7 linked regions of the Callithrix jacchus genome follow. The protein of the gene in region 3 interacts with the protein of the main gene of each other region in a pairwise test. Links are inferred from orthologs where the notes say so. Each region holds a gene or a part of one and is shown on either strand. Other genes may lie near its edges. The genes, in order: MIEF2, RTL8C, UBQLN1, TMUB2, FZD7, TXNDC12 and SRGN.

Region 1 (4,275 bases), on a different chromosome or scaffold from region 3:
CACGGCCACAGTGAGCTCCAGGCGCTCGTGCTGCACCTCTAGCAGCAGCTCCTCCGAGGCCACGTTGGGTAGGATCAGGCACCCAAGCAGGCTGCCGATGGCCGGCCAGTTGACGGAGGCAGCCAGCGCCTTGTGCAGCAGCTCCAGCAGGATGCGGGAGGAGAGGTAGCCCCCCACCAGGAAGCGGTCCCAGGGGCTGCTCCCTCTGGGGCAGAACTCCAGCTGAGTCCTGCGCACGGCCCAGCAGCGAGGGTCCCTCGCCACAGTGTCCACGCCCGGCACCAGGCTCCACAGGCCTGGCTCCAGTACCAGTGGCACCAGGAGACGCACATGGTCAGCAGCCCCTGCCTGCAGCCCATCGTAGAGTGGCCCCCCAGGCACAAGTGCCCCAAAGGGCAGTTCTGGAAACTTGCTCCGAAAGTAGGCCTGCAGCTCCAGGGCAATGTTGCCAGCCAGCTGTTTGGCCAAAGCCACCTGGGCTGCTGGGATGGTCACACGGTCCCGCTCGAAGGCCAGCAGCCTCTCCTGCAGTGTCAGACACAGCGGTGTTGGGGAGCTGAGCTGTAGTGTCACCTGAAGATCAGTTTCTGCAGGCTCCTCTGCAGAGTGAAGGGGCGAGGAACATGCTGGAACAGCCTGTGATTAATTAAGAAAACACTACCCAACGACTAGCTGTGTGATATCCCCGGGCCTCACTGTCCTCACCTGGGAAGGCACTCAGTCCAGGTCCTCGCTATAGTGAGTGCTTGGTGACGAGTTCTCATTGCCCCAGAGTCCAACACCCTGGCCCTATGGCTAAAATAGCTTCATGCAGAGGAAGTAGACAGGTCATGCCCCTCTGGGCCTCAGTTTCCCCATCTAAAGCTCTCCACCATCACAACGCTGCCACCTTGCTACAGGAGCAGGGCAAAGAAAAACCACCCCCATTAAATGTCTGAGGAGCTCACAACCCAGAGAGAAGCAGGGACTTGCACAGGGTCAGTCAGGGGAGAGCCTGGGCTTCATCTCTCAAATGTGACAACAAAAGGGTATCCACCAACGTGAGAGGGGAAGGAGTGCCACTCACCTGGGGCAGAAGGCGAGGGGATCAAGGGCAACATGGGCTGGCTGAGGGCAGCCGGTGGAGGCCGGGGCTGCAGGTGTGGCGTGGCCTTGAGCAGGCTCAGTTCCTTCCAGCTGTCTCCCTTGGTGTCATCCTCGTCCCGTGGGCTAGTGGCCCTGTCAATGAACTGCAGGCAGAGTCATACAGAGTAGATGAAGTCTGGGCAGCTACAGCAAAGCCCAGGGGAAAAGCAGACCAGGGTGCTGGGGTGGAGAAGCAGGTGACCTGGTCTCCCATGAAGGCCTTGGGCAGTCCCCACCCCTCCCCAGGGCCCCTCTGCAAGGCCCAACCCTGTCCTCCTCTAGGAGCTTCAGGCATGACCTGACCAGCCTGGCCTTACCCGCTTCACGGCCAGGGTGGCAATGCCCAGCACAGCAGCCCCGCCCACGCCCAGCACCAGACGGGCATTGGCCAGGAGGAAGTCCACCACGCTGCCCAGCCCCTCATCGCCACGCCGCTTCCCCCGTTTCTGGGAGAACTCTGCCATGGTCTGCCTGTAAGAGAGCCAGGGGTGAAGGGACAGCTCAGGGTGCAGGTGGCCAGGCTGGTAGAGGGGCTGCTGTGGATAGGTGCTCTGGCTGTCCTTATGCTGGGTAACAGAGCGGAGCCCATAAGGGGGGCTTTCTGAGAATTTCTCATGAGAAAGGGACCCATCCACAGGGGAGGACACCAAGGTCCTGGGAACCATGTAAATTACCTGAGAAAGGGCAGGGCTGGGATAGGAATATGGATTTTGGGGCCCCAAGTCCCCATCTCTCATGAGATGAGGGAGCTGCCAAGCCCTTTCTCTCAAAGCTGCAAACAACCCACCCCCTGGAAAGAAGCTCACAAAGGCCCTGAGGCTTGTGCCAATGAAGGGGCCTATCCTCTAGGACCGCTGACATCACCAGAAACCCGCAAGGTGGGTCTTATCACCACCACCTGTATTTTAAAGAGCTCCAGGCTGCCAGATTGCACAGTGAGTGATAAGGTCTCCAGCCCACAACTACAAGGCCTTCAGACTCTCATCCGCCCCCAGAGTCTGACGGATCCTCTGTGCCAGGTGGCCAGGTCCTTAGCAGCAGCCTCATCTTAAGGTTCCTAACCAGAGGACACAGCAGCTCTCTATGATAACCTCTTGAGAAGACCCCAAAGTCCAGAGAAGACCAACAATATTTGGGGCCCCCACCAGTCTGGGGGACCTCTGGGACCAGTTACCCCCCAAATCTTGACAGGGTAGCCCCAAGAGGCAGAACTACCAAGTCAGAGCACAGGCAGAGTGAGATGGCCCAAGCTGCCCAGGCAGGCCAATGAAGACATGCAAGTCAAGGGCCGAGGCCCCTCCGGCAGGGCAACAAGCAAGGTGACCTAAAAGATCAAGACCCAGAAAAAGGGCTGCCCAGGACCTCTGTACAGTGGGCTCTTTGGGCCTCTCAGTCTTGGTGGCGGTGGGTGATGCTTCTCAGCTGCTAGGAGGCCAAGCAACAGAGAAGGTAAGGTGAGGGCCTGGGTCCCAGCCTGTTTGCTCACCTGTAAGATGGCATGGGCAGCAGTGTGTGGTTGGGTGGGGCCCTGCACTTGGGAGGTGGAGGCAAAGATCTCCTGCGGCCCAGTCCACCAACCCCCAGCCTCACGTTCTGCGAGCCGGACACTGCCCTCAGTTCCTGGGAGCTGAGCGGCGCTGTGACCTTAGGACATCAGACGACATGCAGAACTCTCCCAGAGAGGCCTGAGCAGATGACCATGAGGTCACAGCCTGCCCGGGCACCAAGGACTTCTACCTGCCCTGCCAGAGTGTGGGTGCCAGGGGCTCAGTTGCCAGGTGACCAGATGCCTGCAGTAGCTGAAGCCTGAAGTGCTGTGTGACTCAGCCCCGGACACCCGCCCATTCGCCCCAGACTAAAAATAAGACGTTCTCTGGGGCGATCCCAGGCCAAACGGGTGACCCGCTACGGCCCCAGGGCCGGTTTCAGCCTCCTCATTCGTGACACGGGGATCAATACTGCCACCCGACCCCAGAGAGACCAGGAATCTACTTTGCAAACTGTAAAGCGCTTTAAATATTCCCAACCTGTCTAAATTGGGACTCAGACCCACCGCTTGCGGGGTCGCACAGGCCTCAGCCCACAGCCTTCCAGGTCCTAGAAGCGGGAGAGGGCACCGGTGGCTGAAAATAACCCGAGTTTGCGCACCGGTGCCCTGGAGGCCCTCTGGCCTTCCTCCTCCTCCGTCAAATCTGCCTGCCCTGGGCCTGGGCTGAGCGGGCCGCGCAGCAGCCCTAGGTGAGCGGGTGACGCCCTGTTCGCAGGGAAACCGAGAGACCAAGAGGGGAAGGGGGCCGGGCTGGGATTCGAACGCGGGCCTTGGTTCCCAAACCCTCCCGGCCTTACCCAGCGGCGACGGCGGGCCACGCCCCCGATTTGCGTTCCGTAGCGCACCAAGCCCCGGGCCCGTTGACTCTGGGGGCCGCCCCGCCGCCTTCCAGCCGTACCTGCGTCGCAGCGTCCGCACAATGACCGGAGGAGGCAGCAGGACCACGGCCCCTAAGCTCGGACCTTTCTGGGAATGGAACGAGAAGGAACCTGGAACCCAACGTTGAGGGACCCGGGGGCGGCCGCGGAAGCCGCAGGACGCAGACAAGCAGACCCTGCCTCCAATCGGAGCGCGAAATCCAGCACACGTGTTCCAAAATACTGCGCGGCTCAGCCAATGAAGGGTATGCCCCGCCCCCCAGCCAACTGACACGCTCCCTCGGGGCGGGACTCTCTGACGCAGTCTGGATTTAAAGGTGCAGGGCTGCATTCGGAGCCCGCGACCGGGTATTGTGACAGGCAGCCTTCTTAGACGCCTGTGCGTTGTAATGTGAGCGCCGAGTGTGAAGGAAGCTGTCTGGGCCCCCTTTACTTCCGGGGGCCGAGGCACATCTAACCTCTTAGATCACCTCTGCGAGTGTGTCTTGGTGGCTTCATTCTTAACCTGTGGGCCTGCGGGGCACACAGTGTGGTGAAAGCGCCTACCCCTGCCACCTGTTCCGTGCGACCTTGTGTGGGCCGTTCTCCACATGGGCCTCAGTTTTTCTCCTGTAAAATGGGGACACCAGACCCCCTCCTCCCCTGCGAATGGTGGCTAGTCATATAACAGCTGTGGCTCATGTTTTAGGGGCCTGCTATGTGTCAGCCAGGGTAAGCCCCTGC
Region 2 (3,037 bases), on a different chromosome or scaffold from region 3:
CATTAAACAAGTTTGTACCTAAATTAACATTACAGTTCTGCATTCCTTTCTCTACTACCTACCCAATTAAAGCAATATAAATGTAAATGCTCTTTCTTAAGAATCTAAGCCATTCTGCTAGTTCCTTGATAATGGGTTAAATAAAACTATGAGAGGTATTCACCAACAATTGTGTGAGGTGTATGGCTTGTAACCACTTGGAGTATATGCTTTCAGTCAGTTTTTTGGAAACAAAGGAAGAAAAAGCACCCTATCTGACTATTCCTTACCTTATTTTGGCCAAATTCAGATTAAGGTTCATTTCCTAAGGGGCACAAAACTGACTTGTTTACAACATTAATCGTCTGGGATTGGTCACCGGTGGGATCTCCATTTGCAGGACACCACAGGACTCTGTGTCAACATCAGCCATAAGCATAGCAGGGAATATAGCTTTTGAACAAGATATGGACCCCATTTACAGAACCAGGGAGGGAAAAGTGCCATATTCATTGAGACCATTTCTTTTCAATAATGTCTGACATTTATTGAAAATAAGGAAAAGACTTTCTCCAGGTAGTGTATTAGAGCAGAGCAGAATGCAGGGGTTACTGTGTTGAACAAAAGGCACACATCAGAGAGACAGCTGCAAACTCAGAAAACTGGGTTATGGTCAAAACTAACTGGTCCACAAGAGAAAATTAGAGACTCGATTTGGCTGCCAGGCACACCTGGGCCTAGGCAGGAACACAAGAGGTCTTTGGGAGTGGGGAGGAAATAGGTCTCGCTGAAGGTGACAGATCCCTTGGGGTGCAGCCAGCGGTCTGGATCACTGTCCAGGGGCTGTGGCCAGCTCAGATACCTCCGAGGTGAGTCCAGATCACTGGGATGCGGTGGATGGCGATGGCAGTGGCAGCGCAGGTCTGTGGGCAGAATGATGTAGTCGTCTGGCAGTCTCGTGGGGTGGAGGAGGGTTGGCAGCGGCGGCTGTGGGTGGTCTAATCCAGTGTGTAACAGGAGCCCAGCTTGCAGCTGGAGAGCAGGACAGCGTCCAAATATGCATGGGTGGGGCTGGCCGGATGGAAGAAGAGGGCGGCGGCAGCTCGCTCCAAAGTGAGGCCCAGGGGCGGCGGCAGGAGCCTGGAGCGCTATTCCTGGAACAAAGGCAAGCACTACGCGGGAGGGGACAGGAGCGCAGGGGACATCGCGGCGGCTCGAGAGGGAGGGAGGCGAGGAGGGAGGGCACCGGTGGCGACCCTGGCGGCGGCCATTGGCACAGCGGACCCTCTCCAGAGCACCCGCCCCCAGGCCCGAGGGTCTCCAGGCCTAGAAGTCCTCGTCCTCCTCCCATCCAAAGACCCGCTTCATCTCGGCCAGGAAGCCCCGGTAATCATTGAGGAGGGGGCTCTCCTTCTTGATGTAGGGGATCACCCACTGCAGAGCGGGCCCCGTGAGGCGGGTGATGAGGAACGTCACCTTCAGGGCATCGCTGGAGAACGTGTTCTCGTCCACGAACATGTAGGAGCCCGTCTGCACGATGAACTCCGGGAGCCGGTCGGTATCGCCGTCAAACGTCTCGGGAAAGGGAATCGGATTCCTCCAGCGACGCGTCGCAGGCCGGATCGGCAAGGCCAGGAGGGCCTTTATCAGCTGCACCCGACCGTCCATCGCTGCTCTTCGCTTCGCTGGACGTCAATGGGCTCCACCCGGCTCTGCAGAGGTCAGTGCCGAGGCGTCGCCGGAAATGCGTGTCCACTAAGGCCGGCCCAAGCTAGAGTGGGCGGGGCCACAAGCGGAGCTCCAGTCCTCTCATGGACTCCGCCCACAAGGCCGAGTGGTCCCTAGTGCGCAGGCGCGTCGTGGGGCAAACACTGGCGAAGAGGGGCCTAAAGCCATCAAGGAAGCGGGGTCGTATCGGACTTGATGGGCGGAGGTTTCCTAAGTTGGCCGGACCGGGAGCAGGGGAAGAACCAGGGAAACTTGGTGGTGTACCGGGCGCGGGGAGCTGGCTCCGAGAAGCTGTTAGGAGCCCCACCTAGTTCTGGTAGTTGAGGAGTCCTGCCGCTGCACTCGTCCCCACCTCTCATCAGCCTTTGGGTATGCTTTCAGGGACCCTTGGCCCTGGACGCCACTAGTATGAGATTCTGTGAGCACATTTTCCTGCTGCTTCTTGCGTCTCTCAACCAGATTATTGGCTCCCTACTTTGCGACATTATTATAATAGAGAAGCCCCACATATTAGCAAATATAATCTAAAGCAGCATATTCAAAGAGGAATGCACCACGCTTGAGGGGATGGATACCCCATTCTCCATTATGTCATTATTAATATCTAGTATTTGATAGCGCAAAAGGATGACTACAGTCAAAATAATTTAGTTTTACATTTTAAAATAACTAAGAGTATAATTGGATTGTTTGTAGAACAAAGGATAAATGCATGAGGGGATAGATGCCCCATTTACCATGATGTGATTATTATGCATTGCGTGCCTGTATTAAAGCATTTCATGTACCCCATAAATACATATACCTATTATGTACCCACAAAAATTATAAATAATTTTCTAAAAAGAATAATAAATCCACAAGCAGTTAATGTAAGGAGGGTTAAATATTAAGAAATACCTTAATTTGTTATAAAATCTGCCCTCTATTCTCTGCCACATTGTGCTGTGCATAGGCAGTTCACAACACTTCAGCTTGCTTCTTCATGGAACAAAGGGAGAAAGTGTCTCCTTGAAAGTTGGAATCATGTATAAACTAACATAATCATGGGAGTTATATCTCATCACCTTTGCCACATTCTATTGGTTAGAAGCAAGCCATAGTCACAACCTGCACCAAAAGATATGACCAGGACATTGGGATTCTGGGGGCCACCTTAGAATCTGTCTGCCACAGCATGGATATACAAATTTGGTGATCCGTTCATTTGTTGGAGGATATTTGGAACATTTACAGGTTTTGGAAATTACAGAAGAATCAGCTATAAACATTTATGTACAGATTTTTGTGTGAGCCCAGGTTTTCATTTTTCTAGAGTAAATTCCTAGAG
Region 3 (3,500 bases):
TGGCCATGGTATTTTATTATTTAAAACGATAAAAGAGAAGTCAGTCTTGGTGTTTTGAAACTGGTAGTTCTGGGGCTTTATATATTTTGTAGTGACTCTCAGGCTTGTAAACCATTTTCCAAGGTTAGTTGGTATCCTTGATCTATTGTAATGATGTAAGCCTATCTTTGGTTAGTCAGGTGGTGTATATTTGGAAGTAGTAAAGCTAAATTCAGGATACATGTATTGTCAAATTTGGAACTGTTGTTTTAGAGTGTACCTTACTGGTAAAATTGTTAAATTAGTAACAGGTAACACTTGGTTAGGTGGAATATGTGGCTTTCACCATATTACCATGTTGTAAGAATTGTGTATTTGGAGGTTGTCTTTTAGAAATAATACTTTATCTTCTATTGGAGAAGGGGAATAGTTGTGGCTTCCAGAGTAGCTTTTGATTGTCTTCCATTATGAAAATGGCTTTCATGATGGACTTAGGAGGAGGTCAAGTAAAGATTTTCATACTAGGTTTGCTGTCAAAGAGGAGATACTTGTGTTTATTTGGGGACAGAAATACCAATGTCTAGGAGTAAGGTTTTAGATTTTCTCCGGAAGCATAACAAAGATTGTAAAACTTACTTTCACTGATTTTAATTCCTTTGTAACCACTAGTTTTTTTTCTTTCTTAGATGCAGAATCCTGATACACTATCAGCAATGTCAAACCCTAGAGCAATGCAGGCCTTGTTACAGATTCAGCAGGGTTTACAGACTTTAGCAACGGAAGCCCCGGGCCTTATTCCAGGGTAGGCTTATTTGGGGAAGATAATTAAGGTGCATAATGGTTACTTTCTCTGAGAATTTCAGTGTTAGTATTATGCTGCCTGCCTTGTGTTTTTTTTTTTGTTGTTGTTGTTTTTTGAGACAGGGTGTTGCCCAGTCACCTAGGCTGTGAGTGTGATAGTGCAGTTGTGGCTCACTGCAGCCTCAACTTCCCAGGCTCTAGGGATTCTCTCACCCAGCCTCCCTCCAGGTGCACATCACCACACCCAGCTCACACACACACACACACACACACACACACACACGTTTTTAGAGACAAGGTTTTGTTGCCCAGGCTGGTCTCAAACCAGGAGCCATGGCTTCCCAAGGTGGGATTACAGGCATGAGCCACGGCATCTGGCTTTTTTAAAATTATTATTATAGAGATGGGCTTTTGCTCTTTTACCCTGGCTGAACTTGAACTTCTAGGCTCAGGCGATCCTCTCACCTTAGCCTCCCCAGTAGCTGGGACACAGTGCCAAGCTATGATTGTTTTTAAGTCAGGGTTTTTAAAGTTAAAAACGATTATTATATTTTAAATTCGTAAGATAGAGCCTTACTCTGTTGCCCAGACTGGAGTGCAGTGTCACAGTCTCAGCTTACTTCAGCCTCCCCCTCCTGGATGCAAGCCTACCTCATACCTCATCCTGCCAAATAACTGATACTACAGGTGTGCACCACCACACCCAGCTAATTTTGTTTCTATTTTTTGAAGAGATGAGGTCTCACTGTGTTACCTGAGCTGATCTCACGTTGCTGGGCTGCTGGGATCATTGGTCTTCCAAAATGAGCCACTGCACCAGGCCGAGAAGGCTTATTTTAAAAAGATAACTTAGCTTATATTATATTAAAATGTAACTGATTTACTGACTGGGCTTTGGTTTTGCAAGACCTTAGGTTATTTCCTATTTGTTCTTTCTCTAGGTTTACTCCTGGCTTGGGAGCATTAGGAGGCACTGGAAGCTCTTCAGGAACCAATGGCTCTAATGCTGCACCTAGTGAAAACACAAGCCCCACAGCAGGAACCACTGAACCTGGACATCAGCAGTTTATTCAACAGATGCTACAGGCTCTTGCTGGAGTAAATCCTCAGGTATCAGCTCTTTTCCCTTCAAGTTTTATATTCCTTAATGTTAGAAATTTAGAAATTTCCAAAAAGAAGGAAAAGGGAAAAAAGGAAAGCAGTAGTTCTTAGGTGTTTAGATTAATGAACAATACAGTCTTAAGGGTATTGAATAAGAAACAAGCATTACAAAAATTGTTGACTTTGGTGCTATGTAAGACACTAAAGGAAACATTGTTATGGCTGTAGGAAAGACAGGCTGCAACCTAAAGTCTTAATTTTTAGGAATTTCCTTTAAAAATGCCTTTTCTGTATGTGGAGTTCCTATTTGAAAATCATTTGAAATAGGTTTTGCTTTAAAAAAGTTCTTGGGGAGGAATGGAAACTTGATCATGCCAAGTACCTCCAGGAAAACTGTATTCTAGTCTTTTGACTGGAAAAAAGTCCTAACTACCTTACCCCACCCATCAAACCACCTCCTTCAGTAGGTTGTGTTGCATATATATGTCTTGCAAATATGGCTAAAGAATATGGACTCCTAATAATGTGTTTGCATCTACAAACATTTATTGGCTTTACTAATAATGTGCCATTATATAAAGATGATTGCCAGTTCAAACCTATTTTATTAGGTTGTCCCCAAATTTCTTAATGTTTAAAGGTCTGTTAGGTGCTTTCTGTTCTTTTTTCTTTTCTTTCCTTTCCCCTTTCCCTTTCCCCTTTCCCCTTTCTCTTTCCCCTTTCCCTTTTCCCTTTCCCCTTTTCCCCTTACCTTGTCCCCTTCCCCTTCCCCTTCCCCTTTCCTCTTTTCCCTCCCCTTTCCCCTTTCTCCATCCTCTTCCCCCTTCCCTTTTCCCTTTCCCCTTTCCTTTCGTTGCCTTTCCTTCTTCCTTTTTTTTCTTTCCCTTTCCCTTTTGACAGAGTCTAAGGCTGGGTGCAATCACAGCTCACAGCAACCTCCATGTCCTGGGCTCCTGCAGTCCTCCCACTTTTGTATTTTTTGTAGAGATGGGGTTTCGCCATGTTGCCCAGGTTGGTCTCAAACTCCTGAGCTCAAGCGATCCCACCTGCCCTGGCCTCTCAAAGTGCTGGGATTACAGACATGAGCCACTGTGCCTGGCCTGCTTTCTGTTTTCAAGGCTTAATATAATAAACAGGGTGGGGTCTGTTTCATGCTTGTTTGTATTCCTGATACCTAGCATACCCTAGTTTCTGGCTCATGGTAGGTACTCAGTAAATATTCATAGAATAAATAAGAAAACAGGATTTGGGGTATTAGAATCAATTGTTGTATAAGTTAACTTACAAGCCTCCAAATCAGTAGGACTGCTAGGACTGATTGGTCATTTATGTGGGTTTTTTTTTTTTTTTTAACTTCATTTCTGAAGAAAAAAGATATGATGCTGCTGAATTGTCAGAATTAAGAGTGTAATTTTGGGCCTGAAACTGAAGCTCTTTTCTAAGAATTGGCCAGTGCAGAAGTTAAACTCACATTCATTCGAACAATCATTGAAGCTTTAGAATTTTATGCATGAGGATATTGGCTTCTGTAGTTACTCAATTGGTCAGTAGCTACGCATATCATCTAATTCTGAACTATTTGTATATATACTTTAAAGTTTTTCTGCATGTACGTGATA
Region 4 (4,075 bases), on a different chromosome or scaffold from region 3:
GGCAATTCTCCTGCCTCAGCCTCCTGAGTAGCTGGGATTACAGGCACGCGCCACCATGCCCAGCTAATTTTTTGTATTTTTAGTAGAGGCGGGGTTTCACCATGTTGACCAGAATGGTCTCGATCTCTTGACTTCGTGATCTGCCCACCTCGGCCTCCCAAAGTGCTGGGATTACAGGCGTGAGCCACCGCGCCCGGCTCCGTCTGCATTATTTAACCTTCAATCAGTAGTTCTCCAAAACCCCCAAACTCCAGCACTTTTTTTTTTTGAGAGAAGCCCTCGCTGTCGGGTGGAATGCAGTGGCTGAGATCATAGCTCACTGCAGCCTCGAACTCCTGAGCTTAACTGATTCTCCTGCCTCTGTGTCCCAAAGCGCTAAGATTACAGGAGTAAGGCACCCAGCCTGGCCCCAGTACGTTTTTAGAAAAAAATTTAATTGCAAAAATCTAGATAAGTTCTTGAAAGCTGGACTTTTCCCCCTTTTTGTGCCCTAAGCCTGCGCTGAATTTGTGCCTTTGAAATGCTTTCTCCCCTTCTTTCTCCAGGTCCCACACTAGCTGGGGCCGCACTCTTCAAGCACTGGATGCCGACTAACTCGTCTCCTCATCTGCCTTCCCGACTGGCCCAGAGCTGAGTTCTTACTAATCCCGCTAACCTGGAGTTCGGTGCGCGTTGCAAAGCAGTAACGAATTCAACCAGCCCCGGAGGCAGACAGCAAAGCCGGAAGAACAAAGCTGAAAGGGAAACGCCGTACCGCCTCTACCCAGCAGCGCCAGCGGAGGAAGCTTTCCGCAGACGCAAAGCCACGCCCCTTCCCAAGCACCTCCCCGCTGGCCCCCCCTCAATCTAGACTGCCTAAGGCCCCGCCCACAAGGCGTGGCCCAGCTCCAGGAGGGCCGCAATCCCGCCAACAATGACTCCACCCCTGCTTCCGCTGAGAAACCTGTCCCTTTTATTTAAAGAATACCTTTTACGTCAGCCCGCCTTCCGTATCTTTGCGTCATCAGTGCAAGGCGCGGAGGCGGGACTTCCTGTCCCTGGTTCTAACAGCTTCCGGGAAAAGCCGGAAGCGACCGGACCCTGAACAGAATCGCGGGTTGCCAGCCCTTTCCCCGAACCCTACGGAAAGACGAGTCCAGGGGCCGTCCTGGCGAGGTCAAAACATTTAGTCTGGGCTTTTCAGGTGAGAGCTTCCCCATCTAGGCACAGTGCTGGTCCAATCCACCTTTAATTTCCCATGACTCCCCGCGTCCTCAAGCCCCGCCCCCAGTTCCCAGCCCCGCCCCGAAGTTTGAGGGGTGTGGACGGTTTGTGACCCCCTTATCCGACGCTACCCCTCACCGGCAGGGAGAGCTGGGCTTGGCACGGCGGCTGGGACCAGGCAGCCCTTCAGTTCGGGTGGGCTTATGGACCCCAGTCCAACGCCGCTGGAATAGGACCATCCAAACGCGGAACTTTCGCCTCAGAAAAAGCAGGGTGCGGGACCCCTCCTCACCGCGCGGTCTGAGTACGGTCAGGGTAGATCATAGGCTGAGGACAGAGTAAAGTCCTCTGAGGCCGGACACCTGGGGTCCTGCCGGGCCCCTCCCCACGAGAGTTTCCTGTGTCTGTGCCAGTCGTTTTCATCGTTCTTCGCCGCAGTTTCCTCTTCTGTAAATCATGGTTAATGACAATTAACCTTCTTACCATCAGGGGTTAGTTGTGGGTGTGATAAATAATTGCTACCATTTATTGAGCAATTGCAATTTGCAATGTGCCAGGCACTGTGCTAAGTATTTTGCTTCGTTGATTTCACGTCATCTTCAAAACAACCTCATGAGGTAGGTACTATTTTTAACCCCATTTTACTGATGAGAAAGCTGAGGCTCTGAGAAAGTTGTCCGAGTTGACATAGCTAGTAGAACGCAAGACTGGGGTTATAATTAGTTGTTTTTCTAACTCCAGGGCCGGTATATTAAATAAGGATGTTGATGTGTTCCACAGATACTCAGTAACTACTGGGGCATTATATTGGACACTTCAGTACCAAGAGAAATACATACGATCCTTGTCTACCAGGAGTCTAAGAGAAAGGACAGGTAGATAAGTTTAATGAAGTTTTATAGGTGCTGTGAGAATAGTCTGATAATGGATTTGCCCAGGGACAGCTGTGAAAGCAGCAGATTCTCCAAGGGAAATAGTAGGTACTCCAAGCAGCAAGCAGGGATGCTTCCTGTCTTGCTAAGAAACTGCAGCAGCAGAGGCTTCACGGTGAAAGAAGAGAGACTGAGATGTGGATTGCGAGAGCCGTTGGGGAATCTTTTTCAAATCACTTCCACTTGGGGAGTGGTTATTGCAGGAGTGGGCCCATGGTGACCCAGGAGGGTGGTGTTTTGGTGTCTGTCCCACGTTGCTCTCCAGGGGTTGCCAGAAGCTTCAGAGGCGGCACATCATGTCTGCTGCATAGTGTCTGTTCACAGCCCCTACAGAGTTATCCCATTGAGGTTGTCTGACTCTGCTTTTGATGATAGGTCAGTTTTCTTTGGCTCTTGACATCTGGGCAGCCTGGATCTGTGACCAGGAATGAAATAGGCTCAAATGAGACAATCTAGTAGGGGTGGCTCATTCTCAATCTGAAAATATTCCAGGCTTTTGGATCTCTCTGAAGCCACTTTGGAGGCTGCTTAGGAGGCATATTTGCTTGACCAAGTGCTAGAAATCCTAGAGAAACTTAAGCCTCAAAGAAGCAAAGGTTTTTCTCATCAAAAAAAAAAAAAAAGTGTGAGAGAGGAAGATCACAGAACCTGAAAGCAAGAGTTTCACAATAGAGGCAAAGGGTAGGTCTTCAGCTCTAGGTTGAGGCGCCAGAATTGGGAAGGTTTGTACCCGATTCTACAGAACACTGAACTCCATTTTTTTTTTCAGGGCTGGGTCAGTTAGAACCTAAACAAACTAGAGACCTGGTTGCAACCCTCAGGCTCTGCTGATGCTATCCCCCTTTGTTCCTGCAGCGTGGACCCTGTCAGCAGCCAGGCCATGGAGCTCTCTGATGTCACCCTCATTGAGGGCGTGGGTAATGAGGTGATGGTGGTGGCAGGTGTGGTGGTGCTGATTCTAGCCTTGGTCCTAGCTTGGCTCTCTACCTACGTAGCAGACAGCGGTAGCAACCAGCTACTGGGCGCTATTGTGTCAGCAGGCGACACGTCTGTCCTCCACCTGGGGCATGTGGACCACCTGGTGGCAGGCCAAGGCAACCCTGAGCCAACTGAACTCCCCCATCCATCAGAGGGTAATGACGAGAAGGCTGAAGAGGCTGGCGAAGGTGGGGGAGACTCCACAGGGGAAGCTGGAGCTGGGGGTGGTATTGAGCCCAGCCTTGAGCATCTCCTTGACATCCAAGGCCTGCCCAAAAGACAAGCAGGTGCAGACAGCAGCAGTCCAGAGGCCCCCCTGAGGTCTGAGGATAGGACCTGCCTCCCTCCCAGCCCCGGCCTCATCACTGTGCGGCTCAAATTCCTCAATGATACCGAGGAGCTGGCTGTGGCTAAGCCAGAGGATACTGTGGGTGCCCTGAAGAGGTGAGTGGCCTGGGAAGTGGGAGGCTGCTTGTGCCCATCCCCCAGCCCTTGGTTGCCTCTAAGGAGGCTGGTGCAGACATTGGAGCAGCAGGAAAGTATAAGATCAAGCCCTCCTAAGGGCAGGTAGATACTTTCTTAGAAATACACTCTTCAGGCCAGGTGCGGGGGCTCATGCCTGTAATCCCAGCCTTTTGGGAGGCCGAGGCGGGTGGATCACCTGAGGTTGGGAGTTTGAGACCAGCCTCATCAACATGGAGAAACCCCATCTCTACTAAAAATACAAAATGAGCCAGGCTCGGTGGCGTATGTCTGTAATCCCAGCTACTTGGAAGGCTGAGGCAGGAGAATTGCTTGAATCCGGGAAGCGTTGTGTGAGCCTTTGCACTTTAACCTGGGTGACAAGAGTGAAACTCTGTCTCAAAAAAAGAAATACACCCTTCATTAGTTAAGGATAAAGATGAGGGGGGAAAAATCCACCCTCCAATTTTTCCCCACTCCCTTGCTTTGTTATTTCAGGC
Region 5 (4,071 bases), on a different chromosome or scaffold from region 3:
TCAGCCCCGGAGCCAGGAGAAACTCACAGCAGTCTCTGCTGGTCTCAGCCTTCTCTTAGGCCCAAGCTGGCCCGTACCTTTCACGATTCACATCGTTGTTATCATCATCATCTTCCTGTAAGTCTTTGCCTGAAGTCCTTTCATCCAAACCGATTTCCATCCAGGTCTCCTTTTCCAAGTCACCCCTCACCCCAAATCTGCAAACAACTTCTCACTTCCAGGTCACTTCTCAGTAGAGGGGGAGAAGGTTACAGAAACAGGCCCCCACCCAACAGGTCTTTCCCTACTGTGCCTCTCCTCTAGCAAGAGGGTAGGGGATGGGAAAGGTGGGGAGGAGCCGGGGCTCATACCGCAGTCTCCCCCTTGCTGCTGTGGCTGAGTCTGTGGTAGAAGCGGCGCCACGACTGCAGAGTCTTGCCCGACCAGATCCAGAAGCCAGTGGTGATGCCCACGATCATGGTCATCAGGTACTTGATCATAAAGACGGTGAAGTCGGGGCTCATGGGTGGGAAATGGCCGGGCGGGCAGGGCACAGCGTAGCTCTTGCATGTCTGCAGGAGCCAGGTGCGCTCCCAGTGCTCGCGGAAGGCCTGCTCGTAGAAGTAGCAGGCCAGCACGATGGTGGCGGGCACAGTGTAGAGCACGCTGAAGACTCCGATGCGCACCATGAGCTTCTCCAGCTTCTCCGTCTTGGTGCCGTCGTGTTTCATAATGGTGCGGATACGGAAGAGAGACACGAAGCCCGCCAGCAGGAAGGACGTGCCGATGAAGAGGTAGACGAACAGAGGCGCCAGCACAAAGCCTCGCAGCGCGTCCACACTGGACAGGCCAACGTAGCACACCCCGCTGAGCAGGTCCCCATCCACCTGGCCCATGGCCAGGATAGTGATGGTCTTGACGGCGGGCACGGCCCACGCGGCCAGGTGGAAGTACTGCGAGTTGGCCTCGATAGCCTCGTGGCCCCATTTCATGCCGGCCGCCAGGAACCAAGTGAGCGACAGAATGACCCACCAGATGGAGCTGGCCATGCCAAAGAAGTAGAGCACCATGAAGAGGATGGTGCAGCCCTCCTTCTTGGTGCCCTGCGCCACCGTGCGGTAGCCATCATCCGAGAAGCGCTCCACGCACACGGCGCGGTCCTCCAGAAGGAAGCCGGCCACGTGCGCCACGGCTACCATGAAGTAGCAGCCCGACAGGAAGATGATGGGCCGCTCTGGGTAGCTGAAGCGCCGCATGTCCACCAGGTAGGTGAGAACAGTAAAGAGCGTCGAGGCGCAGCACAGCACCGACCACACGCCCACCCAGAGGCGGGCGAAGCGCCTTTCCTCCTCCTTAAAGTACATCAGGCCGTTGGCACGGCCGGGTTCGCACGGGGCGCCGCAGTCGCGCTCACCCAGGAAGCGGTAGCCCAGGTAGGGGGGCACTTTGAGCTGGCGGGGGCATGAGAAGGGGAAGGCGGGACGCCCCCTGCCATCTGCGGCCCCCGGGGGCAGCGCGGTATAGGGCAGGTCCGGCAGGTATGGTGCAGTAGGGTAGGCAGTGGGGCCGCCGCCTGGGCCCCCGGAGCCATCCGACGTGTTCTGGCCCACGCAGATCTCGCCCGCGCCGTGCACTGGGAAGTTCTCGCAGCGCAGCCGCTCGGGCCACTGGAAGCCGAACTTGTTCATGAGCGCCTCGCAGCCCTGGCGGGCGCGCTCGCACAGGGAACGGCACGGCGGGATAGCCTGATCGAGCACGGTGCACACGGGCGCGTACATGGAGCACAGGAAGAAGCGCAGTTCGGGAGAGCACTGCACTTTCACTAGCGGGTAGAACTGGTGCACCTCGAGGCCCGCGTCCTCTTGGTTCGTGTGGCCCAGCAAGTTGGGCAGGATGGTCTGGTTGTAGGCGATGTCCGTGCACAGCGGGATGGAGATGGGCTGGCAGAAGCCGTGGTCCGGCACGGAGATGCCCTTCTCTCCGTGGTACGGCTGCGCCCCGGCGCCCGCGGACAGCGCGCCCAGCAGCGTCAGCACCAGGGCGCAAAGGCCCAGGGGAGAGCGCGAGGCGGCTGCGCCGGGGCCCCGCATCGCCGGCCGCGGGTGCAGCGGTGCTCTCAGCCCGAGGAGTGCGACGAGGCGGTTGGGAGAGGCTTGGATGCGGGTGCGGGGAGGCGTCGCCGCGCCCGGATCATGAGAACCCTCCAGGCGCCTGGGCCCGGCCGTGGGCGGCGGGGAGCAGAGGGCGCTGCCGCCGAGATGCCCGCGCCGCGGGGGCGCCTCCACCGCCTCCGCCCGGCAGTCGCAGGGCCGCCAGGGGCCCAAAACTCGTCAGCCTGGGTTGGGGGCGCCGAGGAGCAACAAGCGGCTCCCGGGACCCTTCAAAGTTTGCCCAAGTCTCTGGACCCCCAGCGCACAGCAGCGCGCACGCCCCCCGCGCCCGGCCCGGCCCCCGCCTGGAGAATCCCCGGCGTCGCCGCCTGCTCGCCCCGGCCGCCGCCTCTCCGGTGCTGCTCCGCCTCCTGGCCTCGAGGCTCCGCTCGCCGCCGCCTCCTTCGCCTCCTCCTCCACACCCCGCTCCTTCTTCAGCCCCAAAAGCTCGGCCCCAAGTTTCAGCCAAACGGCCGGCTCTCGCTGAGTCCGATCTCGGCTCCGAAGCCGGGAGCGCGGCGAGTTCTTTTTGGAAATCCAGTCACACTGCGTCCAAAGCCGCGCGGCGCCAGTGCCCGCGACCTGGCCCCGGCCCCTCCAGCCCCGCGCAGCCCCAGCCGCGAGTCCAGGCGTCCGCCGCCGCCGCCCGCCAGGAGGGAGCGCCGACTAACGCCTCGGAGTCGCGCTGGTCGCCAGAAGAAGCGTCGGGCTCGCAGGGTTCCGGGCCGGCCCGCCCCCTCCCCTCCCCTCCCCCCATTCACAAACCACTCCGGGGGCGGCCCCAGGCCCCGGCGGCCCAATGGCGGCCTTTGTTTTTTCGGCAGCCGCCTTCGGATTGGGCGGAAGTCGGAAGGGGCGGGCAGGGAGCGGCGAAGGCGGTGCCGCGGCGCTCAGGGCGGATTCCTGAGGGGAGGGGCGGGGGACTGGGAGGGAAAAGTTAGGAAAAACTTTTACCCTGAATTCTCTCAGGGGGGAAAACGCACAGAAAGGGAATTTGCTTCAAAGATTCGTTCCTCTTCCTGGTGCACTCAGATGCGCATTCCTGAGCAAAGGAGCCTTCGCCAGCGGCGTTTGCGGGAGCGAGGACCACGCAGCGCCCCTGCGGGGAGAGACGTGACCCCGAGTAGCGTTAGGGCTGCAAAGCTGGCTCTGGCTCGGCTTTCGGGTCGTTGGGTCCTTCTGTGGGGTTTGGGACGGGGCGAGAAGGGGGTGCGCCTTGCCGATCGCTTCTCTACCCCCGGACCCAAACAGTCCACGCGAAGCCACAGTCCCCGATCCCCTCCCCCGAGTTGTTAAAAGGAGGAGGGGCCACCTCCAAGGAGAAACCCGAGTCGGGCGGAGGGGGCCGAATGACGAGAGGAAGGGCCGACCCCTCGGAGGAAGGGCCCAGAGCGCGCGCGGGGGGGGGGGGCGCGAGGCGCGGGCTCAGGCCACCCAGCCTGCGCGCACGGCCTGGAGTCTGGGGAGCTGGGGTGGCCGTAGCGAGGTTTTAAGGAAACGAAGACGGCGGTGGGGGGACTGGTTCTAGAAGTAACCTGAGACTGAGTGCCCAGGAACACTGTACGACGCGACGCGCGTCTTCGGTGGCCCCGTGTGCCTTGGTTCTGCGGCATGTGGCCTTTAGGGATCCCATCTTCATTGCAGAAGGAACCATTTGATCCTCCATTTAGAATCTGCGCAGAAATGTTTAAATGCATCTTAGAAACCAGGGAATTGGCTAATTAAAGAGTTTTCAAAACACAAAGCGGGGTCATCCTTGTTCTCGGGTAGGGTTTTCTGATTGGCAAACGTTCTTTTGTTCTCGGTTAAATCTTCGTCTTGCGCCAGGGGCTGGGCGCTCACGCGCGCTCTCTGGTTACTCCTGGAGAGGTCAGAAGTCACCAGGGGGCCTCTCCCCTCTCTGGGCTACCAGGAATATCAGGAATTCCCATGCAGGAAAATG
Region 6 (3,986 bases), on a different chromosome or scaffold from region 3:
ACCTCCATGTCCCATTCCCTTAAATCTGCCCCTACAGAGTACAGTGGAAGTGATGCTATGTGCTTTGTAAGGCTAGATGACAAAAATTTCATGCATTTCCACATTGTTCTCTATGGCACTCACTCTTGGAATCCAGCCTTCCATAAGGCTACTGTGAGGAAACCCATAGCAGCTCATGCAGAAAGATCACATGGAGAGGTTACCAGCTTAGCTGAGGCCCCAGACATCACAGAACAGGGACAAGCCTTCCCCAATGTACCTTGTTTGAATTCCTTACTCACAGAATTGTGAGCATAATAAAATGATTTCTTCATGCCTACTAAATTTTGGGGTGATTTATTATACAACAATGGTAACCAGAACAACCACACAAAGCTTAATATCTAACAAGTAATAAAGATACAAAATACCTGACTTCAAGTTATTACCTATACCTATCACAGTAACTGGAACAGAGTAAATTATTTGTTGAGTGTCTGAGGTAGTTATGATGCCCATTTTGCAGATGAGGAACTGAGGTTTTGAGAGTTAAGAAACTTGCCCAAGGCTACTTAGCTGGTGAGTGGCAGAACAAATTAAAACTCAGATCTAGGCCAGACACAGTGGCTCATGCCTATAATCCCAACACTTTGGGAGGCCAAGGAGGGAGGATCACCTGAGGTCCAGAGTTCAAGAACAGCCTGGCCAACATGGTGAAACTCCATTTCAACTAAAAATACAAAAAAAAAAAAATTAGCTGGGTGTAGTGCTGCACCCCTGTAGTCCCAGCTACTTGGGAGGCTGAGGCAGGAGAATCACTTGAACCCGGAGTTGGTTGCAGTGAGCCGAGATCGCACCACTGCACACCAGCCTGGGCAGCAGAGCAAGACTCCATCTCAAAACAAAAACAAACAAAGCCTAAGAAAAAGCGCAGATCTAAACCCATGTTCCTAACACTATACTCTTGTTACCCTCAGTACTTACAATTTTACTTTAAATATACAATAATCTGTTTTAAAATGGGATTCTCAGTATTGAAAACATTCTGGCCTAATAGAATTTGTCATGCAGTTTCATCACTGAGATGGAAACCCACATATCACCTTCTCCAAAAAGCTGTCCCTGATCTTCATAACTCAAGTGATGTGCCAGCTTCCCCAACCTCCCCAGCCTTCCTACTTCCTATCACAGTCTTGTTGTTTTCCCAGCACTTATTCCTAGCTGAAACTGTCTTGTTTATTAATTTGTTAATGAGTCCACTCTGTCTCTCTGACTTGAATATAATAAGCTCCACGAGAGTAGGAACCTTGTCTGTCCTGTTTACAGCTATATCCCCAATGCCTAGGACAGTGCCTGAAATACAGAAAATACAGAAGGTGATCAAAATTATTTTTGGAATGAAGGAATGGCTGCATTTAGGCAAAATGAATGCCCACCCAATCTTACTACCAACCAATAGATGTGAAATAATAAGAGAAAACAGGCCGGGCGCGGTGGCTCACGCCTGTAATCCCAGCACTTTGGGAGGCCGAGGCGGGTGGATCACGAGGTCAAGAGATTGAGACCATCCTGGTCAACATGGTTAAACCCCGTCTCTACTAAAAATACAGAAAATTAGCTGGGCATGGTGGCACGTGCCTGTAATCCCAGCTACTCAGGAGGCTGAGGCAGGAGAATTGCCTGAACCCAGGAGGAGGAGGTTGCAGTGAGCCGAGATCGCGCCATTGCACTCCAGCCTGGGTAACAAGAGCGAAACTCCGTCTCAAAAAAAAAAAAAGAGAAAACAAAAACGGCAGGGTTGCAGCAGAATCATTCCATACAGTAAGGTCAGTGGAAAAAAAAATGGAAGAGGGGTTGGGATCCATGCTACAATTCATCTACTTAGAAAAGCATAAACCCTGAGTTCACAGACTGTCAATCCAACATTCAACTAAGTAAGGGCTGATGAGGAGAAAGGTGTTAAAACATAGAATGGAGATGTAGGTAATGAATGGAGTAGGGGCCACACCTAACCACTGATCGCTCATTCACAGAAAACTCAATGTCTTAAGACACACTCGCTGAACCACAGCAAGGACAATTGTCGGGAACTCTTAAAAGAGCACCTTCTACCCTTCACCTGGCCCTTCTTATGCACTAGATATGGCTACCTGGGATGCAGGTGCTGTCTTCCAAAGGCAAGGAAGTGGCAGTAACCCAGGTCTTCACGGAAGAGGTAAGGAGCGGAATCTTCAGACCCAGGACAGGGTTCTCTGCATACGCAGGTCCCCAACGGCTCTATTTCTTCCAGGTGAGAAGTGACCGTTCCTCAGGACTTCCCAAGTACTAGGCACTATGCTGGGCTCTTAAACATGCTTTTCTTAATTTACGGACCATTCCTTCCCCCAACCCAAGAATTTAGCGAGGCCTCAAGTACAGCTTCTCCATTGCCCAGACCCGCTACTCTTTCTGGGGTAGCCAAGAAATCTTCAAACTCCAGGAGTGGTTGGGGAAGATAAAAAGAAATCTGGCGTGGCCTGAGAGATAGAACGTGAGGGGAACGTGTTAGGGCAAGAAGAGGTTATAGTGCGCTGTGGCCCAGGATCAGTAAAGAGTAAGATAAGAACGCGGTCTGACCCTTTCCAAGCCCATTATGTCCATCAGAAGAGATGACGAAGAGCAGGAAACTGAAGCCCAGCAAACAGGTGGCCCCGAGACGAGGCCGTGTCTCCATGGCAGTAGGTGCGCGGAGCCACCGGGCTGAGCGGACGCAGGGCCGCAGTCCCGGCAGAAGGTCCACACCGCCAGCCGAGAGCCGGTCAGCACAACCCGTAGCCTTCCCAGATTTTTTTTTTTTTTTTTTTTTTTTTTTTTTCAAACTCTGAAGGAAGTGATGTTAGACGGATGTGGGTGGTGCCTCCGGGGTCCCGTTCGGCACAGAGTGAGTTTAAAGGTGCAGATCACGTAGATGAGTGCGAGAGCTGTTCTCGATCGCAAGTTACTTTTCCTAGATTCTGGGTGTCCAAGTCCTGGGACGGAGCGGGAAAATGTGGGCCAAGAATGCGGGAGAGAGGTTCGGGAGAACCGTTGCCGCTTGCTTCCGCCACCCAGTCCAGCCCCTCCCCCCCAAGAACCGCTGCACTTCCTAGTCAAACGCAAATTATTGATTGGTGAGGTCAGTCTCTCCCAACAGTGGGCGGTTTGCCCAATGGCCTCGGATTCTCCTTCCCTCTCCACAAATAAAGACTGGACAACTGGATTTCATTGTTAGGATCCTGCCCAGGTCTCCGAGGAGACTTTGCAACCCTCCTCGGCGGTGCGTGGGCTCGTGCCGTGCAGGCATACCCTTTCCCGCTGGAGAAGCTCTGTACCTTATTTTTCCTTGCAACCGCAAATCTACTCAGGGATGATGCAACCAACTGATAAAAGCTCCGAGAAAACCAAACTTAGGGCCTCTTATTGCAAAACTGACTTAGGTGGACTTAGCACACCAGGACAGAAGTCACTGCAGGCTTTTAAAGGGTAAAGCTTCTGGTTATTTTTCTTGTAGCTTGAGGATTTCTTCCCAATTTTTCCCCTCCGCTGTATAACAGGTGAATATGTCCGGTCTTTCTTCCTGGTACTAGTTGAGTCCTAAAGTGCGTACTTAATGCATAGCCAAAAAACAACCTAACTAAAGTATACACCCAAAGAGAAACATACCGACCACCTTTATGTTAGGTTCCCTAAAATTGTAGGCAGGGACACAATGGAACGCTAGGGAGACTGCAAGCCCCAGGATGCCGCGCGGGCACTTGCACCTGCCGCCACTAGCAGTAGAGGCATTCGCAGAGCAGGCCGGCCTTTGCAGTTCAGATGTGCGCTCCCAGGATAGGCTGCCCCGGAGAGGGAGAGGCGGGACCGACTTTGTCACGTGGACCCGCTCCAGCCGCCGCCGCCGCCGCCTTGGTCTTTCTCTGTCTCTGCTGAGGCAGCCATCTTGCTCTTGCCGCGTGCTGCTGTTGGAGGACCCTCCCTGCTTCAGGTGA
Region 7 (4,255 bases), on a different chromosome or scaffold from region 3:
ATTGTGAGGCTCTGTCCTTGGCAGGAAATGGTAAAGGAATCAGCAGGAAGCCTAAAACAAGGGAAAGGAAACTCCTCCCTCCTATCAAAGGCCAGGCAAGGGCGAGGATGAAAATGGAAAATGGGGCACGTGCATTAAGCTGTCTGGGGGAGTGGTAGGGATAGACATGTTGAAATGGAGAGTGGTTGAATCTTGTAAGGAAGTAAGGAAAATTTATACGTCTCAAGGGCAAGGATGGACGATAGGCTGGTATTTATTGTATAACTTTAATGTGGAGCCTTAGTCCTCCAGAAATGTGCACCATGCCCGGGGAAAATGCTGTTCCTTCATTTACTACATGAGGCAGAGGTTTGGGTTGTTTTCTGAGGTCCAGTAGCTCACTGTGACAACAACCTCTCCCTCGTTCCTGATTTCTAGCTTATTCAAGGCCAGATGACCCAAAACTCAAGTTGAAAATTTTGACTAGGAGAATAGATAAGAGTAGAAATGGAGTCTAATCATAAGAAATGCTCAATGTGAAGGAGAGAGAAATGCAAAGAATTTTTTGTTGTCGTTGTTATTGTTATTTGTTTGTATGTTTGTTTTTTGGAAACCGAGTCTGGCTTTGTTGCTCAGGCTGGAGTGCAGTGGTGCGATCTTGGCTCACTGCAACCTCCACCTCCCAGGTTCAAATAAAACTCTTTCCTCAGCCTCTCGAGTAGCTGGGACTACAGGCACAGGCCACCACACCATATTGCCCAGGCTGGTCTGGAACTCCTGAGCTCAGGCAATCCACCTGCCTTGGCCTCCCAAAGTGCTGGGATTACAGGTATAAGGCACTGCGCCCAGCTGAATTTTTCTATTTTACCATGGTCTTTGTAACTGAAAATTCTATGTTCTTGAGGTAGAGAGAGAGAGCCAATGATCCAATGCAATAAACTGAGTTTAAGAAGAAACTGTTCATCTGAAAACCGACAACTCATTCTTGAAGGTTAGAGCTCAGCTTTGAAGTTTCAGTTCACGAGCTTGGCTCAGTGAGGTATGCTACTCCCTGGTGAGAAAGAAAATGAAGACAACACTTTATGTTGAAAGTGCTCAGTGACGAAAAGGCAGCACCTAGGTCCCTTATCTCATCAGAAATGCAGCAGATTCTTAATATTAGCAATTTCATGTTTAGATTGTTACCTGAAGAAAGGAAAAACAAACTATCACGAATGCTGATTCTGCTGTTTCGGTGGGAAAAAAATGTCTAACAGGCAAGTGGCAAACAACAAAACTTCTGAAGAAGCAGGCCTGGGGGCAGTCCAGTGTAGTTTCATAATGGTATGAATAGTTATTTTACCGTGTTTTTTTCCCCCTTTCTTTCTGGGTTTTGATGTGAATCTCTTCCTATTTGTTCAGGAAATTATGACGTGTGTTCTGGGCAGGGTTTGAGGTTTTGGAACCTTTTCTAAAAGGGACAGAGAGCACCCTGCTACATTTCCTAATCAAGAAGTTGGTGTGCAGCCGGGAAAGCTGAACGGAGTTGGTCATGATGCAGAAGCTATTCAAATGCAGTCGGCTCGTCCTGGCTCTTGCCCTCATCCTGGTTCTGGAATCCTCAGTTCAAGGTAAGACTCAGGAGTCTTGTTCCCCAGCCATCTTCTCTGTAAGCCCCCAAGACCATACAAGTCATTATATTCACTTTAAGGCACAGAATGTATAATATTGTAGGATAGGAGGCAAAGAAGAAGGATTTGGGGTGGCTGAACCCTTTAATATGAATTCAGTTAAGTTTGGTACCAAGAAAAATTAAACTTTGAGGCACGCACAGTCTTGTAAACTCTTACAATGATTGAAATGTGCTAATTTATTTTGGGACGAAAGTATGAGGTTTATAAATTTTGAAAGCTCAAAAAAGGAATCTAGAAAGTGACTTCTGTGCCCGTTGCATGGAGGAGATGGGACCTTTGAGTGTTTGCGGGTTTCTGCCTAACCCTAGGTGTCTACATCAGCCCCAAGTTTTAGTGCACTGTGATGGTGTCATTGTTATTTTAACACTGGGAGATATTATATTTCAATTGGGGTGAATTTGACTGTGTGTATTTTTTTCTTTTTTTTAAAGATAAACTTGGTTCTTACTGAAAACTCAATTATGATTAGACATAGTTAATGCAAACCCTCTCAGATTTTAAAGAGAAGGCCACAGAATGTGGTATTTGGGCTGTTGCTCAGAGAAACATCATATTCGGAAATATCTTCCTAGGTTTATCTATTGTTTAGTGCTGTTTAGTCAGACTGAGACAACTTAAAACCTCTAATGACTAAGACGATAACAATGATCAGTTTGTAAGAAAAATACAATTTGCTCTCCTTTGATAAATAACGAATCATGTCGAAATAAGAAAGAAGTCACGGCCTGATAGAGAGATGGCAGAACTGAGAGCAGAAAAACACTAGGTTCCCCCAGATGGTAAGGGAAATGTTGAGTCACAATGACACACACGTCCTAGATTTGTTTCGTCAAACTGACTTTTCGGTTGTCACGATGTAGAGATGAAATCTTACAGATGATCGCAGAGACATTCATTTTATGTTGGAAATTTATAAAATCTCATTTTCTTCTAAATGTTAATACTGAAAAAACAGCAAGTAATTTTGCCGGAGCTTTATTAATCCATGTATTTTTTAAATGTAAAACATAGTCAGTTGTAGGGAACAGACTTCACTTGGACCGTTTAGGGAATACGTTCAGCTTGATGAAATAATTCCCTAAGAACCATGTGGTCTGACAAGATCAAGAGCAATGAGGTCCATACTTTAATACAGTCTTGAGTGGCTCGGTGGTGCTGGGCATGCCGCAGCCAGAGATACGTACGTCTGTATGTTTCCAAAATTTCCCAGAAACATGAATTTCCTGCTAAGATTGATTAAGGAAAACTAGAATGAAAACAACAACGTTCCTTGTACAGTGTTCATTAGAAAGAAATGAAGAAAAAAATAATTCATCATGAAATTGGATAGAACGCTACCATTTACGTCATGACCTCATAGGTTTAGCTGTTAGAAAAGGAAACCATAGAAAGAGACAAGGGAGAAACTGACAAACATGGTTCTGAAAAAAGGCTCTTGGTATCGGCTCAAGGGCTTGTGCCCACATCTGAGTGCGCAGGGAAATAGATGTTTCCCCATGGCTGCATGTGTGAGTGACTGCCGCACGAGGCTGCGATGTGAAGGGTCGTGACACCCTTTCCTCACACCTCCACACGATGCCAGATATGATTCAAAAACATTCTTCCCATCTTATAAAAGGTGTTTATCTAGCCCCTTGGTTTGGCTGATCAAATCAACTAGGCTTTTGGCTGGCTTATACTGAACATTTTCAAAACCATTTCAGATTACTGTAGTAGTTTGCTCGGGCTGCCATAACAAAGTGCCTCAGACTGGGTGGCTTAAACAACAGAATTTTTTTTTCTCCCAGTTCTGGAGTTGGGAGTCCAAGATCAAGGTGCTGGCAGGGTTGGTCGCATTCTGAGGCCTCTGTCCTTGGCTTATAGATGGCTTTCCCTCCACGCATGTGTCTTAATACCGTCTTCTCATAGGTCACCAGTCATTGGATCAGGGCCACCCTAATGACCTCATCTTAACTAACTACATCTGCAATGACCCTATTTCCAAATAATTTCACACTGTGGGATTCTGTGGGTTATAACTTCAACATACAAATTTGGTGGTGGTATATTTTTACTATAAGTCACACCCAAATAAAGACATGGGGTAAAATTGTGCCTACCCAGCACAAAGAAATGGCAATTTGGGGATGTGTGGGTAACCCTGGAGAGCACAGATGACTAATCTATTTAATGGAGAGCTCCAGGGGATTTGATAAGGCTTGTGAATCTTACACGCTTATTGTTTCTCTTTTCCAATGACTCCCATAAAGAGAAAAAATGGGGGCCATGAGTGGTGGCTCATGCCTGTAATCCAAGCACTTTGGAGGCCAAGGCGGGTGGATCACCTAAGGTCGGGAGTTCAAGACCAGCCTGACCAACATGCTGAAACCTCATCTTAAAAAAAAAAAAAAGAGAGATAGAGAGAAAATGTGATATCCTTGAACAGGTGTGGCCAAGGGGGCCAGGTCCTCCGTGTGTCCCCTGCCCACTGTCTCCTAGCTCACAGGAATGATATCAATCCATTCATTGTGTTGCTGTTTGCAAAGTGATTTCACATCTATACTCTGATAATCATCATCACATTCCCTGTGAGGGGGAATTAGCACCAGAAAACTAGATCTGAC

The links.
Region 1: the proteins of UBQLN1 (region 3) and MIEF2 interact in binary tests that used the Homo sapiens proteins (3 or more experiments, as listed by UniProt). The two-hybrid records come from large-scale screens. The link is inferred for Callithrix jacchus from reciprocal best matches to the Homo sapiens genes UBQLN1 and MIEF2.
Region 2: the proteins of UBQLN1 (region 3) and RTL8C interact in binary tests that used the Homo sapiens proteins (3 or more experiments, as listed by UniProt). The link is inferred for Callithrix jacchus from reciprocal best matches to the Homo sapiens genes UBQLN1 and RTL8C.
Region 4: the proteins of UBQLN1 (region 3) and TMUB2 interact in binary tests that used the Homo sapiens proteins (3 or more experiments, as listed by UniProt). The link is inferred for Callithrix jacchus from reciprocal best matches to the Homo sapiens genes UBQLN1 and TMUB2.
Region 5: the proteins of UBQLN1 (region 3) and FZD7 interact in binary tests that used the Homo sapiens proteins (3 or more experiments, as listed by UniProt). The two-hybrid records come from large-scale screens. The link is inferred for Callithrix jacchus from reciprocal best matches to the Homo sapiens genes UBQLN1 and FZD7.
Region 6: the proteins of UBQLN1 (region 3) and TXNDC12 interact in binary tests that used the Homo sapiens proteins (3 or more experiments, as listed by UniProt). The two-hybrid records come from large-scale screens. The link is inferred for Callithrix jacchus from reciprocal best matches to the Homo sapiens genes UBQLN1 and TXNDC12.
Region 7: the proteins of UBQLN1 (region 3) and SRGN interact in binary tests that used the Homo sapiens proteins (3 or more experiments, as listed by UniProt). The two-hybrid records come from large-scale screens. The link is inferred for Callithrix jacchus from reciprocal best matches to the Homo sapiens genes UBQLN1 and SRGN.

What each region holds. Positions count from the first base shown.
Region 1 is NC_133506.1:82,691,929-82,696,203, reverse strand, and holds the start of MIEF2 (mitochondrial dynamics protein MID49), read right to left. Parts: upstream 2,801-4,275; 5' UTR 2,626-2,800; coding exon 2,612-2,625; intron 1,597-2,611; coding exon 1,443-1,596; intron 1,230-1,442; coding exon 1,067-1,229; intron 600-1,066; coding exon 1-599. UniProt on the Homo sapiens protein: Mitochondrial outer membrane protein involved in the regulation of mitochondrial organization.
Region 2 is NC_133524.1:130,606,550-130,609,586, reverse strand, and holds RTL8C (retrotransposon Gag-like protein 8C), read right to left. Parts: upstream 1,677-3,037; 5' UTR 1,648-1,676; coding exon 1,306-1,647; 3' UTR 501-1,305; downstream 1-500.
Region 3 is NC_133502.1:99,350,801-99,354,300, forward strand, and holds part of UBQLN1 (ubiquilin-1), read left to right. Parts: intron 1-665; coding exon 666-781; intron 782-1,721; coding exon 1,722-1,890; intron 1,891-3,500. UniProt on the Homo sapiens protein: Plays an important role in the regulation of different protein degradation mechanisms and pathways including ubiquitin-proteasome system (UPS), autophagy and endoplasmic reticulum-associated protein degradation (ERAD) pathway.
Region 4 is NC_133506.1:71,038,648-71,042,722, forward strand, and holds the start of TMUB2 (transmembrane and ubiquitin-like domain-containing protein 2), read left to right. Parts: upstream 1-1,275; 5' UTR 1,276-1,815; coding exon 1,816-1,820; intron 1,821-1,983; exon of another isoform or gene 1,984-2,078; intron 2,079-2,904; exon of another isoform or gene 2,905-2,990; coding exon 2,991-3,557; intron 3,558-4,075.
Region 5 is NC_133507.1:123,203,729-123,207,799, reverse strand, and holds the start of FZD7 (frizzled-7), read right to left. Parts: upstream 2,801-4,071; 5' UTR 2,070-2,800; coding exon 345-2,069; 3' UTR 1-344. UniProt on the Homo sapiens protein: Receptor for Wnt proteins.
Region 6 is NC_133508.1:89,039,428-89,043,413, forward strand, and holds the start of TXNDC12 (thioredoxin domain-containing protein 12), read right to left. Parts: upstream 2,801-3,986; 5' UTR 2,693-2,800; coding exon 2,596-2,692; intron 1-2,595. UniProt on the Homo sapiens protein: Protein-disulfide reductase of the endoplasmic reticulum that promotes disulfide bond formation in client proteins through its thiol-disulfide oxidase activity.
Region 7 is NC_133513.1:61,004,690-61,008,944, reverse strand, and holds the start of SRGN (serglycin), read left to right. Parts: upstream 1-1,455; 5' UTR 1,456-1,510; coding exon 1,511-1,589; intron 1,590-4,255. UniProt on the Homo sapiens protein: Plays a role in formation of mast cell secretory granules and mediates storage of various compounds in secretory vesicles. Required for storage of some proteases in both connective tissue and mucosal mast cells and for storage of granzyme B in T-lymphocytes.